2 linked regions of the Coturnix japonica genome follow. The protein of the gene in region 1 interacts with the protein of each later gene in a pairwise test. Links are inferred from orthologs where the notes say so. Each region holds a gene or a part of one and is shown on either strand. Other genes may lie near its edges.

Region 1 (5,783 bases):
GACTTACTGCTCTTCTTCTGGCTGGGAATGATTGCCTGGCAGTGTGAGCTCAGTTAGAGGAGAACTGCTGTGTCCAGCAATCTAACAGCTTACACGATGTGCTGTCTTTGTTGCTCCTGACTTTGCAGAGTATCAGTTCTAACACCATCTGAGAGCGATTTGCACATGTCATACGACACAAAATTATTGCTTTTCTTCACCAGAGCCAGGTCTGTGTGTTCTGTTGCTTTCTGACTGCAGGGGCTGCCTGTTTAATCCCTCAGGAGATGTGAATAGAGATTATCCTAACCCGGACCAACATATTCTCTTATTATTTCTAATACTCTCTGTAAACAGAAAGTAAAAGGTGCTGTTCTCCTTTATTAAAGGAGGAGGCTGTGGAACTGAGCAGGCAAGGTTATGCAGTGCCCCAGTTTACCTAAAGTCATTGTGGTCGTGCTTGGAATTACTTCCACTCTGAATGTGAAGTGTTTGAAAATAGAGGTTGCTGAGCAGGGTAACTAAGTGTGTCTGAAGACCAAACTTGGCTTATAGCAGCTCTTCTTTTTAATACTGAAATGAATACCACTAGAAGTAGAGCACTCTGCAGGTCAGGCCTTAATGGATGTGTTGTCTTCAAGGGCTTTTTCTTGCTACTTGTTTAAGGGTTGGGTTTTTTGTTGTTTCTTTACTCCATGTGCCTTTGAGCTGCTGGCGCTGTGTGGTCCATCCCTCTCTTGGTCAGATTTGGCCATTATCATAGTGTCAGCAACCTGGTAAGGAAAGGAGAGGAGTGTTGGTGATCTACCAGCAGAGCCCTGGACACTCTTTGCCTACAACATGTATCTTCTTGCAAGAAGCTGCATTATAAATTCCTCTCAGGGGACCTCTTGGGTACAAATCAGATCTTAGGCTGGTTTGAAGACTGATTCCTCTTTTTCCCATGCAGTTCATGGGTAAGGGGGAATGGATTCACACACGTATGTAGCCCTGGCTTAGATAGATGTTCCTGTGCTCTGCAGAGGGAGCAGGGTGGTTTCTTGCCCACGTGCCCAACAAACACCGTGCAAAGACACAAACCAGTCCTTGATGCTCTTCCTGGAGGGGCTGGGGTGGCTCATCAAGTACAGACTTAACCTGGGAGATGCAGCAAAGAATTTTCAGCCTTTCTCAGCCTTACCTGTTCCATTTGGCATAACACGGGTCAGAGCATACAGGAGTAACTTTACTTGATCTCAAGCACTAATACTGCCTTTCTGCTCCCCCGCTGGGGGATAGCAGTTTAACGTACCTTAATGTAATGTGACTGAAGCCATGGGATTGCAAGCAAATGGAGAAAATCCTTTTAGTGCCTTTTGTGTGTGTGTTTCTAATTTGACAGCTGGAATAAGGTGAGCTGTTTGAACACAAGCAATAAACTTTGGTGTGTATGACACTGCATCTGTGTGTGACTTTGAGGGTGGGGAAAAGCAAAGAGATTCTGAAGGAGTCCCCTCTCAGATCACTGAGATTTCTGGAGTTGTTACAGATGTTTAATGATGAATTAAGGGCAGAGAGTGGAGACTGGCATCTCCATCTGTGGTGGGGAGGGATGGAGAAGGGATAACCAGTGCTACTGAGCTCCTACTGGTATCTTACTGCTTACTCCTATCCCCTGCAACAAGAGCTTTACAAAGGCGAAGGCTCCAAAACGTCATCCCCTGAACAATATACAAAGCATTGCATGCAGCAACGATTTAGCAAGACTTTCCTTCTGAATGACTGCTCTTACACACGCATTTCATAATAGTAGCAATTAACAGCAGAATGGTAAGTGAGATAAGTAATCTACTCAGACAGGAGGCTTTCCTAATGTTAACACTGCTTGGTGTGGTATTTCAGGAAGGGTGAGCTACTCAGCATTCCCAGGTGAGCAGCAGGAGCGACCAAAGGTCTAAAAACCAACATCTCCAGGGAGGGATCAAATGAGCCGTTTTGTAGAGGAAAGGTGACTGAGGGAGGGTGCGCGTGTGGAAGGTTTGCAGTCAAGTGTAAGGCAATAAATTAGTCTCTAATCCACCTAGGGGGTAATACACATATATTGTCACAAAAGGGAATTAAATCGTGACTGAAGAGATTGCCTGGGATGACAGTGCCCCATAGGAAGGGGAGGGGATGGGCACAAGTAGGGCAGAGGCTGTGCTGTCTGCTGATCCCTGATCTCACTGGGCAGAGGGAAGGCTGGCATTGCTCCTGGTATCATGCCCCTTCACCATGGCCAATAGAGCAGAGCTGTGAGCAGGCTGCTGCCCTTTGTCCCACTGTCTGCAGAACCCTGAATCACCGCAGCACTGTGCCAGAACCTGACAGACACCCACATGCCTCTGCCTGGGGTGAGCCCGTTAATGCAGGGCTGTGGGTAAGCCCAGGCTCTTCCAGGAGTCATGGAGCACTAAGATCACCCAGTACAACCATCAGCACACCCCCACCATGCTCACAGACTAACTCCATCAGTGCCACATCCCCATAGTTCTTGAACACCTCCAGGGACAGTGACTCCACCACCTCCATAGGCAGCCTATTCTTCCTGCAGAACACTGCCCATATGCCTGCCCTTCTGGTCCAGGTGAGTAAGGATCCAGCCAGGTCTGCTTTCTCTGTGCTGACATTCCCTTACTTTGTTAGCAGTAAGGGAAAGTGCTCCTGCTCATCCCCACTCAGTCCTTTTACCCTCCTGTCCTGCTGCTTGGCTACACCACATCCACTTTTCCATCCCTTCTTCAATTCCCTTCTCTGTATTGCACCAAACCCAAGCTGCACACCCACACTTTCTATCCCCCCCGCTTCTCACCGGCCTTGGTGCACTGCCACAGTGCTGCACAAACACAGAAAGGTCTTAATCTCTTTTGCATCCATCATCTCCTGATTTGACGCATGGGGATGATTTTGCAGCCATCCATCCCACAAGATGAGAACCTTTGGGGAGCTGTTTGCTCAGTTTCCCCAGCAACGCACGTCCCCCCAGCCCAGCCCAGAGGTGGAGCCTGGGGGTAGTAGTGCCCCAACACCACATATCCCAGGCACAGGACCCGAGTGAGGACAGATTGCTGAGGAGCTCTAGCAGAGGAGCATTGGCTCTAGAGTTTAACTGGTAAAAAGTCAAAGCTTGGGCAATGCCATAAGCACAGCACCCAAGGGAGCTGTGTGGCCCAGCCCAACCCAAGCACATCACGCTTTGAGCCCCAGCCCAGCTCAGACCTCACTGCACAGTCTGCAGCTCTGCACTTTGCTTTGCAGGAGGACGTGGCACAATGACGGCAAGGAAGAACCAGCCTTTGCAGAATGGAAGGGCCAAGGTGAGTGTGGGGAGAGGGAGAGGAAAGGGCAGAGGAGGGGAATAGCTCATACCGTGCTGTCTTGTGTGTTATCTTGGCTTGTAATAATACGGAGCAGCCATTAAAGCACGACCATTCACATACCTGCAATTAAATAACTGAGAATCAACAAAGATAACCTTGATAGCAGCCTTCAGCACTGTATCAGCAGTACCTATATTTCATCTTTGTCCCCATGGTGGACCAAAAACCTCCAGCAATGCACAGCTGGGAGCACAGCTACAGCCACTGGGGTCACTTATCCATGTGATTTCTGGGTCAGCTGGCTCCATGGCAAGATGAAATTAGCAGGAGGTGTATTTTCCTTATTGAACACGCAGATTCACAGACCAGTCAGGCCACAAAACCAGACTCAGCTTCTCTTGAGGAGTAGCTGCTGGCTGGCCCCTAACTGGTCCCCATCTGATGCACAGGAGAACGTGCTGCAGCGGGTCCTGCAGCTGCCGGTGGTGAGCTCAACCTGCGAAAGCTTGCAGCGGACCTACACCAGCACCAAAGAGGTCCACCCAATTGTAGCCTCGGTGTGTGAGGTCTATGAGCAGGGCGTGAAGGGTGCCAGCGCCTTGGCCATGTGGAGCGTGGAGCCTGTGGTGCGCAGGCTGGAGCCCCAGTGTGAGTCCATCAGGAGGGATGTGGCGGGGTACCCTCAGTGGCACAGCCCCCAGCCTTAATCTCCACCCCGTTCTCATGCTTTTGCCCTTGGCAGTCTCAATGGCCAACAACTTGGCGTGTCGGGGCTTGGACCACCTGGAGGAGAAGATCCCAGCCCTTCAGTATCCTGTTGACAAGGTAAGTCATGGGTGGGAAAGCCTCTGGGACCCTCTAGGCCCCCCTGCAGAGCCCACAGTACTTCTCCTCTGGGACAGATCCTAGTTTTGCTTCCCACCTGGTCACCAGTGATGGCAAAGGGCTTCCATAGAGCACCTCAAAGCAAGGACTTGGCCACAGGTGTGGTTGAATTGCTCCTCAGTATAGGCCAGCAGTGTCCTGTATGGCTGGCTACCTGCAGCCCAGGCTATAGGAAATTGTTCTGCTGCTCTAGGTTATGTCTTCTTGTGCAGCCCACAGTCACTCCAGCTGCCCCGTGCCATCCAGAGCACATCAGAAGGGCTCTTCTCTATCTCTCTGCCCGCAGCTTGCCTCCAAAGTGAAGGACACTATCTCCACCCCCATCCAAAGTGCCAAGAGCACCATTGGCAACTCTATGGACAAGATCCTGGGGCTGGCAGTGGAGGGCTATGAGACCACCAAGAGCACCGTGGAGACCACAGCAAGGTACACGAGGAGCAACTCAGTGAGCCAGATGGCAGCTGCCGGGATGGACACAGCTCTGGATGGGCTGGAGAAGCTGATGGAATACCTGCTGCCAGAAGAGGAGGAGGAAGCAGGTAGTACTGGTGCCAAGATCACCTCGGGGTGTCCTGGTAAGGTCTGCTGGGGTGGAGGAATCACCCAAGGCTGGCACCATGGAGGTGGGGTCTTGTTGATGGGGTGCAGGTAGAAAGAGGAGGATCTTGGTGCAGGGCCGTCCCATCACGCTGTAACATCCCACACTCCCCCTGTGCTATTCTGCCTTTAGATCTGAAGCCCAAGCAGCCCTGTAGGCCAGCAGCAAAGGTCTCACAGCAGCAGTCCAGGACTTACAGGGCTCACAGTGCTCCCAGTGCCCCCAGCAGTGCACCCAGCACCCTGGGCCGGATCGGAGCCCTGGTCAGCACTGCCTCCCACCGTGCTTACTATCACACCGCCCAGAACCTCCAGCGTGCCAAAGCCAAAGGGCAGGAACTGGTCGTCTGGATCCCCATCCTGGTGAGTCCCAGCCTGTCCCAAAGCCCTGGGACCTGGGACTCACCCCAAGCACTGGTTTCTGTCCCCCCTGCAGGGCAGTCTGGTCAAGCCAAGCCAGCCCGTGGTGCAACAGAGCCATAGTGAGAGGCAGAGCACTGCAGGCAGCTGGCGGCAGAGCAGGATGCCGGAGCAGAAACAGGAGAAAGCAGAGAAGAAGGAGGACAAAAAGAACAGCCATGCTGGTGAGGTAGGGAAAAATGAAGGTAGTGGTGAGATGGGGTCATCTCGGTCCCACCATGTTCTCGTTCTCTTCTCCAACAAGCCAAATCAAGGCACTTCCCTTCTGGCATTCTAACAGGGGCTGGGTGCAGAAGGACCCAGCAATCAGCATCTCTTGCTCAGTCCTCCTTAGGAGAAAAAGCCCTGAATTCCCAAACAGGGCTGCAGCAGCCTCTGGGCCAGGCAATGCTCCAGTTTCCAATCAGCACCTTGATCACAGTTGTTGATCTGGGGTCTCAACACAAAACATACTCCCACTGTGGTCCCAGCAGTGAACAGGAGGACCCTGGCTGGGGGTGTGGAGGACTTGGGGTACCCTGCTGACAGCACACAGGCTGGAGGACTTACCCTGGAGGTAGCAGC
Region 2 (5,040 bases), on another chromosome or scaffold:
CAGTAATAATCCTTCCTATAAGGAGGCTGCACATTAGTCTCAATGCACTAATCTGCTGTAGGTGCCAATTAGAGCTTCCCTCTGTGCCTGCTCCACTCCCCATCCTGAATTTACTGGTAGAAGTTTTGTCTACAGAAAAATGGAATGATGCTCACTTACCGGATGACCATTCCCCAGCCCTAGTAAAAATCTTCCTGCCAGCTTCTCCAAAGTTGTTAGGTTTAGGCAAGCAATGAATCCTGCGGTAATCACAAAGTGTTAAAAATAGAGCAACTAATGAGCCATTTTCTGTACTTTAAATCACTGAGATCTACATAGAAAATCTTTATGGAAGTGTAAGCACTGGTTACATCACTGACTCTTACAAACTGAGGCTTCTGTAAAAGCTATACATGTGGAAAAGGATGCCTTAAGATAAAGAGAAATGAAATACAAGAGAAGAGAGATTTTCTAGTATTGAGTTCTGATTCTTTACAAATTACCATACATTTTTTCAGTGAAAAGCACTGCCCATTATTTTGGCCCAGTCTCTTTCCCAAAATCAGCTTCATAAGCTGTTATCAGTCCAATTTAAAACAAACAAACAAACTCAAAGTCTTAAAATATTGTATATGGAGTTCTGGATTCCATAAACAAAATACAGAACAATTTCATATTCTTGCTATGAAACATCAACTAGAAAATATGAATGTTTATGAATAAACAAGCCCACAATTTATACATTATATCCACACTGATACTGATGTCTGTGTTAGTGGTGAATTCAACATCTTTAGATAGAGTTCAACAGGTGAACAATATTCAATTGCATTTTAAAGAAAATTCCAGTTTAAGAAGTCCTAAGTAAATTCATATACGGCAGGCCAACAGTCTACAGACAAATCTCAAATAAAACTGTACATTTGCTTCAAATCTACCTAGGCCCAAAAGGCACTTAGTGGTTTAAGTGTGCAAATTGCTTCTTAGAAGAAACAGTGTGCAAACAGAGCCTGTTTCATTAGCTCCGCATTCTTTAGTCATTTCCTGCAGTGTATTGCTATTAAATGGTGTCTACGGTGTAAGACTCTAAAGGACAGAAGATGGTCAGTCCACAGAATCACAGATGTCTTTCACTTTCTGGTTGAAGTCTTCAGGCTGATCAGCGTACACGTAATGACCTGCACCAAGGATAGCCTGGAGGACAAAGGTGAAGAAACAGTTAAAAGGGCAAGAATGCCATAAACGCATAAGTAAATACTGAGCTAGGTGAGGAATACTCCCCCTTGAAATGAATATCCTAAACCTGGCTTCTACACACTGATACACTATTACTTAGAAAGAGCAATTCTAGAACTGAAACTGATCTATTGCAGCCAGTGTGTGTTAACAGAGTTAGAACAACTGCTGCCAGGAGGTGGTACCATACAACCAACAAAAGACTCCAAACAGACGGAAAAACAAATGTTTGTTTCGCCCATGGAAGGAACTGTGCTAAACAGGAATAAAGGGTAAAAGAATCGCCTTTTCCATTGCACAACTTGTTGAAAAGAAGATCCAGGTAAACACAAGTCACTGCAAAACAAAGCAAGGAGAACATACCATACATATCAAATTTCTGAACAACTCTCATCTCTTTCATTCGCTGCTCAAACAGTTCTGCAGAGCAGCTTGTTAGTTCTGTGTTTGGAGAAGAGATAGCATCTAAACATCCGTATTCCCTTGCTATTATCAAAATTATATGGGAAGCTCTAAAGAACATACTGGGATAAAGGATTACCAATTCAGAGGCTTATATTGCTGAGGGTTCCCTAGCCTTGTGGAAGCAGACTTCAGTCCTCCCAGTGAAACAGTATTGCGTAAAGCAGGGAAAAGTCAAATCCAAATGATGCAATATATGGGGAAAAATACCCCGTGTATTTCTGGTCTAGATTATTTCATTGCAAGTGTGTAAAAAAAATTAAGGGCTTAAGTAACCACACACATTGTGGTGACTGCATTTTTGCTAAAACTAGCATGAAGCAAGTCTTCGCCATACTGTAGGTCAAAGGTACTTGACTATTTTAAGTTTATGGTCAGTTTGAGATTAATTTGTATTTAAATCTACTTTCCTCTGTCATCCCCTCCATTAAAACGCTTCCTCTTAAGTCTCTAAATGGAAGCACATTGCTTTAAGTGTGGCCAATTTAGTGTTTTAAAAAACAAGAACAACAAATCAAAGTAAATAATAATCTAAATAACATGCAATAAAGCCCTATGCATTCTAGCAAGTCTCAGCCTCAGGAGAACCCCTTTGCCCCTACAGCGCTGTGAATGTCTTTCCGTGCCTCTGTAATTTCCACCATCCCAATTTACCTTTTACAATCTGCATTTTAACTTGGTATACAATGAAGTTTTTCTATATGGTATGATTCTTAATAGTGTGGTTTCTTATGTTACAAGCTAATTCTTGGGTTAAGCAGTAAAGCAGCACTTTTGGATCTGGATGTTCCCATTTACAAAATGTATTTATGTTCTTTAACATGTGTAAGTTGTTCAACATCAATATCTTTTCTCCATGTTCCTGCTCTGATGTCAGCTATATCTAGATTACAAAATTTTATTTCAATGACTTGTCAAAGTTAATATCACATTATATACTTTTGTCCAGTTAGAACTAGACATCAGCAAGAAAGCAGCTGGCACACTCAAACCTTCTATCACAGCACTGGAACATGCAAGTATATTCAATTATCATGTCTGGCAGATGTGACAATACAGGAGAAATACTTCCAAAATGGTTTGTTTTTATAGGTACCATCAAAAACACAGTGTGCACATTTGTACTAAGTTAGAGGCATGTGCATCTGAAATGACAGTATCATGCCTCTAAAATAAGAATGTATTAGGTCCACAGACAACACCAAGTTTTTTTTGTAATGACTTAAAGAAAGATGCTTCCAAGAACCTAAGCAACAAGTAACAACCACTTTCTTAGCAGAGAAATTGAAGTATTATACAAACTGGTTAAAACACTTTATGAGAGCATTCTTATTATGTCATATGTATCTGTAGAAACTCAGACTGCTAAGGTTTAAAAGAGACAGACAAACATAAGTACTTACCAGTGACCACAAAAACTACTTGTATTAGCATGCTAGAGCAAAAAAAAATTGTAAAGTAGAAAAGCGATCTTGCTCAAAGATCTGATTCAGCTTCTAGAGCTTTCTTATTTTCTCTTACTCTGAAAAAAAGACTTCTGTTTGTTTTAAGCTTGATCTAAAACTTATTTCCTCTTTTTCTGTTGAAGAAATCAGAAGTTATTACCTAAGTCCATGAATCAGAGCTATCATTTCAACACTTGGTATAAAGATCGCACAGATACGCTTTGAACAAATTCACACAACGAACTAAGCAACTGCTTAAAAAGTGAACTTACTATTGTCTTCACATATGACTTTGGTCTCAGGGACTGGATAGTGCTGCCAGAATTACCATCTATGCATGAACGTGCTCCATAAACCACGGTGATAGGAATGTCTTGATCCATTTGTGGAATCCGTTGCAGCATTGGCCTTTTTGCCCATCCATAAGGAATAGTCATGTTCTTGAAAGCTGTTTCACCACTTCAAGGCATTCAAAAAGGGTAAAAGTAATTAAATTTCCATTGTATCTGCCTTTTCTCCCTTCCCAGTACCTGCCTAAGAATTCAAGTATGTGTGCCTTCTGATTATATGGCTGTAACAGTGTTTGAGGATGGAAATTCTGACTGTTAAGGAATGCAGGTTTGCAAAGTTTCAATTTGCAAATTTCAATATCTGTTTTTCAGTGATTATTTTTTGGTTGTTTTTTTTTTTTTTTTTTTTCTTTTTCTTCAGTACAGGGTAACAACACTTAAAAACAAAGAGGTGTCAATTTTTTCAAGTTCTTAAAGAAAATGATTTATTAACAAACTATAACAACTTTTGGTTAAAAAATAGCGCTCCAATTCTCAGAACTAGAACATTATAGTAGTTTAAGAGAACTAGTGAACTGGTACAGGTTCTACATCCACCAGTTTCTGAAATGCACATAAAGGGCAAAGGTAGATTTTTTTGTCTTTAATCAATACAGTAAATGTTACAATAAAAAAAAAAAAAAAAGAAAGAAAAAGCATGCACTCTGTTGCCATGACCATTGGAGGGAGCAGCAGGCCATCAGTAAGACTTCAAAACGCACACTATGAAACTCACACTCACCTGGGTGACTGCACATTGCAGTGATAGATATATTCAGTCACGGTGTTATCATCGAACATTGATGCATATTTTCGTTTGAAATCTGGTCTTAAGCGCTGAACAAGGCTTAGGCCTGTCAAAACAGAAAATGCTATTATAGGAGGAGTTGGCAGAGAAAACTATCAGACTGCTGAACACATTTCCTTACAACCCTTCAAACGTGCCCCCTTGAAAATTGTGGCTAACTCTGATGACTGCACTTAATTTCACCACTTGTAAGTCTTAGGAAAACATGGTGGCAAACAAGAATTAAACATAATTATTCTGAAGGACTTTATGTTGCCCCAGAAGAGGGACAACTCAATCCCTACTGAATACATATGGAGAATATTGCTGAATGGCCACTGTGGCAATAGGAGAAACATGCAAAGGGGATCAGCAAAAGGACTAAGCAGATAAAATTTTTAATAAAAATGCACTCTTGCCGGATACCAACGTTTTCCTTTCCCTTGCTCTGGCAGCTCTGGGTATACCAAAAGCATTCTGCCTTTCAGAACCAAAAGGCACTGTTGAAAAAAGCTAGGCTCTTTTTCTCTAGATATAAGTCTGTACTCCTTTTTTACATAACAGTCTGGTTTTTTTCTGAAGCTACTTCATCTGACTAACATTTAGGTGAAAGAACAGACGTCCATGCTGAAAAACAGGTGTAGAATTTTTGACATGAGTACAAGACATCTTGTGTGGAACCTGGAGCATTGATAGACTTGGAAGCATCGATAGTTGGTCTTGATGATCTTAAGGGTCTTTTTCAACCTAAATGATTCTACAATTCTATGATTCTATAAAATAAGAGATTCAACCTAAGAAA

What was found. The genes of interacting proteins can lie anywhere in the genome.
Region 2: the proteins of PLIN1 (region 1) and ABHD5 interact in a protein complementation assay, tested with the Homo sapiens proteins (3 studies listed by BioGRID, with this or other methods). The link is inferred for Coturnix japonica from reciprocal best matches to the Homo sapiens genes PLIN1 and ABHD5.

The regions. Positions count from the first base shown.
Region 1 is NC_029525.1:11,485,887-11,491,669, forward strand, and holds the start of PLIN1 (perilipin-1), read left to right. Parts: upstream 1-2,285; 5' UTR 2,286-2,584; intron 2,585-2,745; exon of another isoform or gene 2,746-3,109; intron 3,110-3,255; 5' UTR 3,256-3,269; coding exon 3,270-3,314; intron 3,315-3,366; exon of another isoform or gene 3,367-3,766; coding exon 3,767-3,965; intron 3,966-4,059; coding exon 4,060-4,142; intron 4,143-4,488; coding exon 4,489-4,741; intron 4,742-4,932; coding exon 4,933-5,162; intron 5,163-5,235; coding exon 5,236-5,388; intron 5,389-5,783. UniProt on the Homo sapiens protein: Modulator of adipocyte lipid metabolism. Coats lipid storage droplets to protect them from breakdown by hormone-sensitive lipase (HSL). Its absence may result in leanness. Plays a role in unilocular lipid droplet formation by activating CIDEC.
Region 2 is NC_029517.1:37,634,872-37,639,911, forward strand, and holds part of ABHD5 (1-acylglycerol-3-phosphate O-acyltransferase ABHD5), read right to left. Parts: intron 4,306-5,040; coding exon 4,194-4,305; intron 3,582-4,193; coding exon 3,395-3,581; intron 1,174-3,394; coding exon 1,084-1,173; 3' UTR 1-1,083. UniProt on the Homo sapiens protein: Coenzyme A-dependent lysophosphatidic acid acyltransferase that catalyzes the transfer of an acyl group on a lysophosphatidic acid.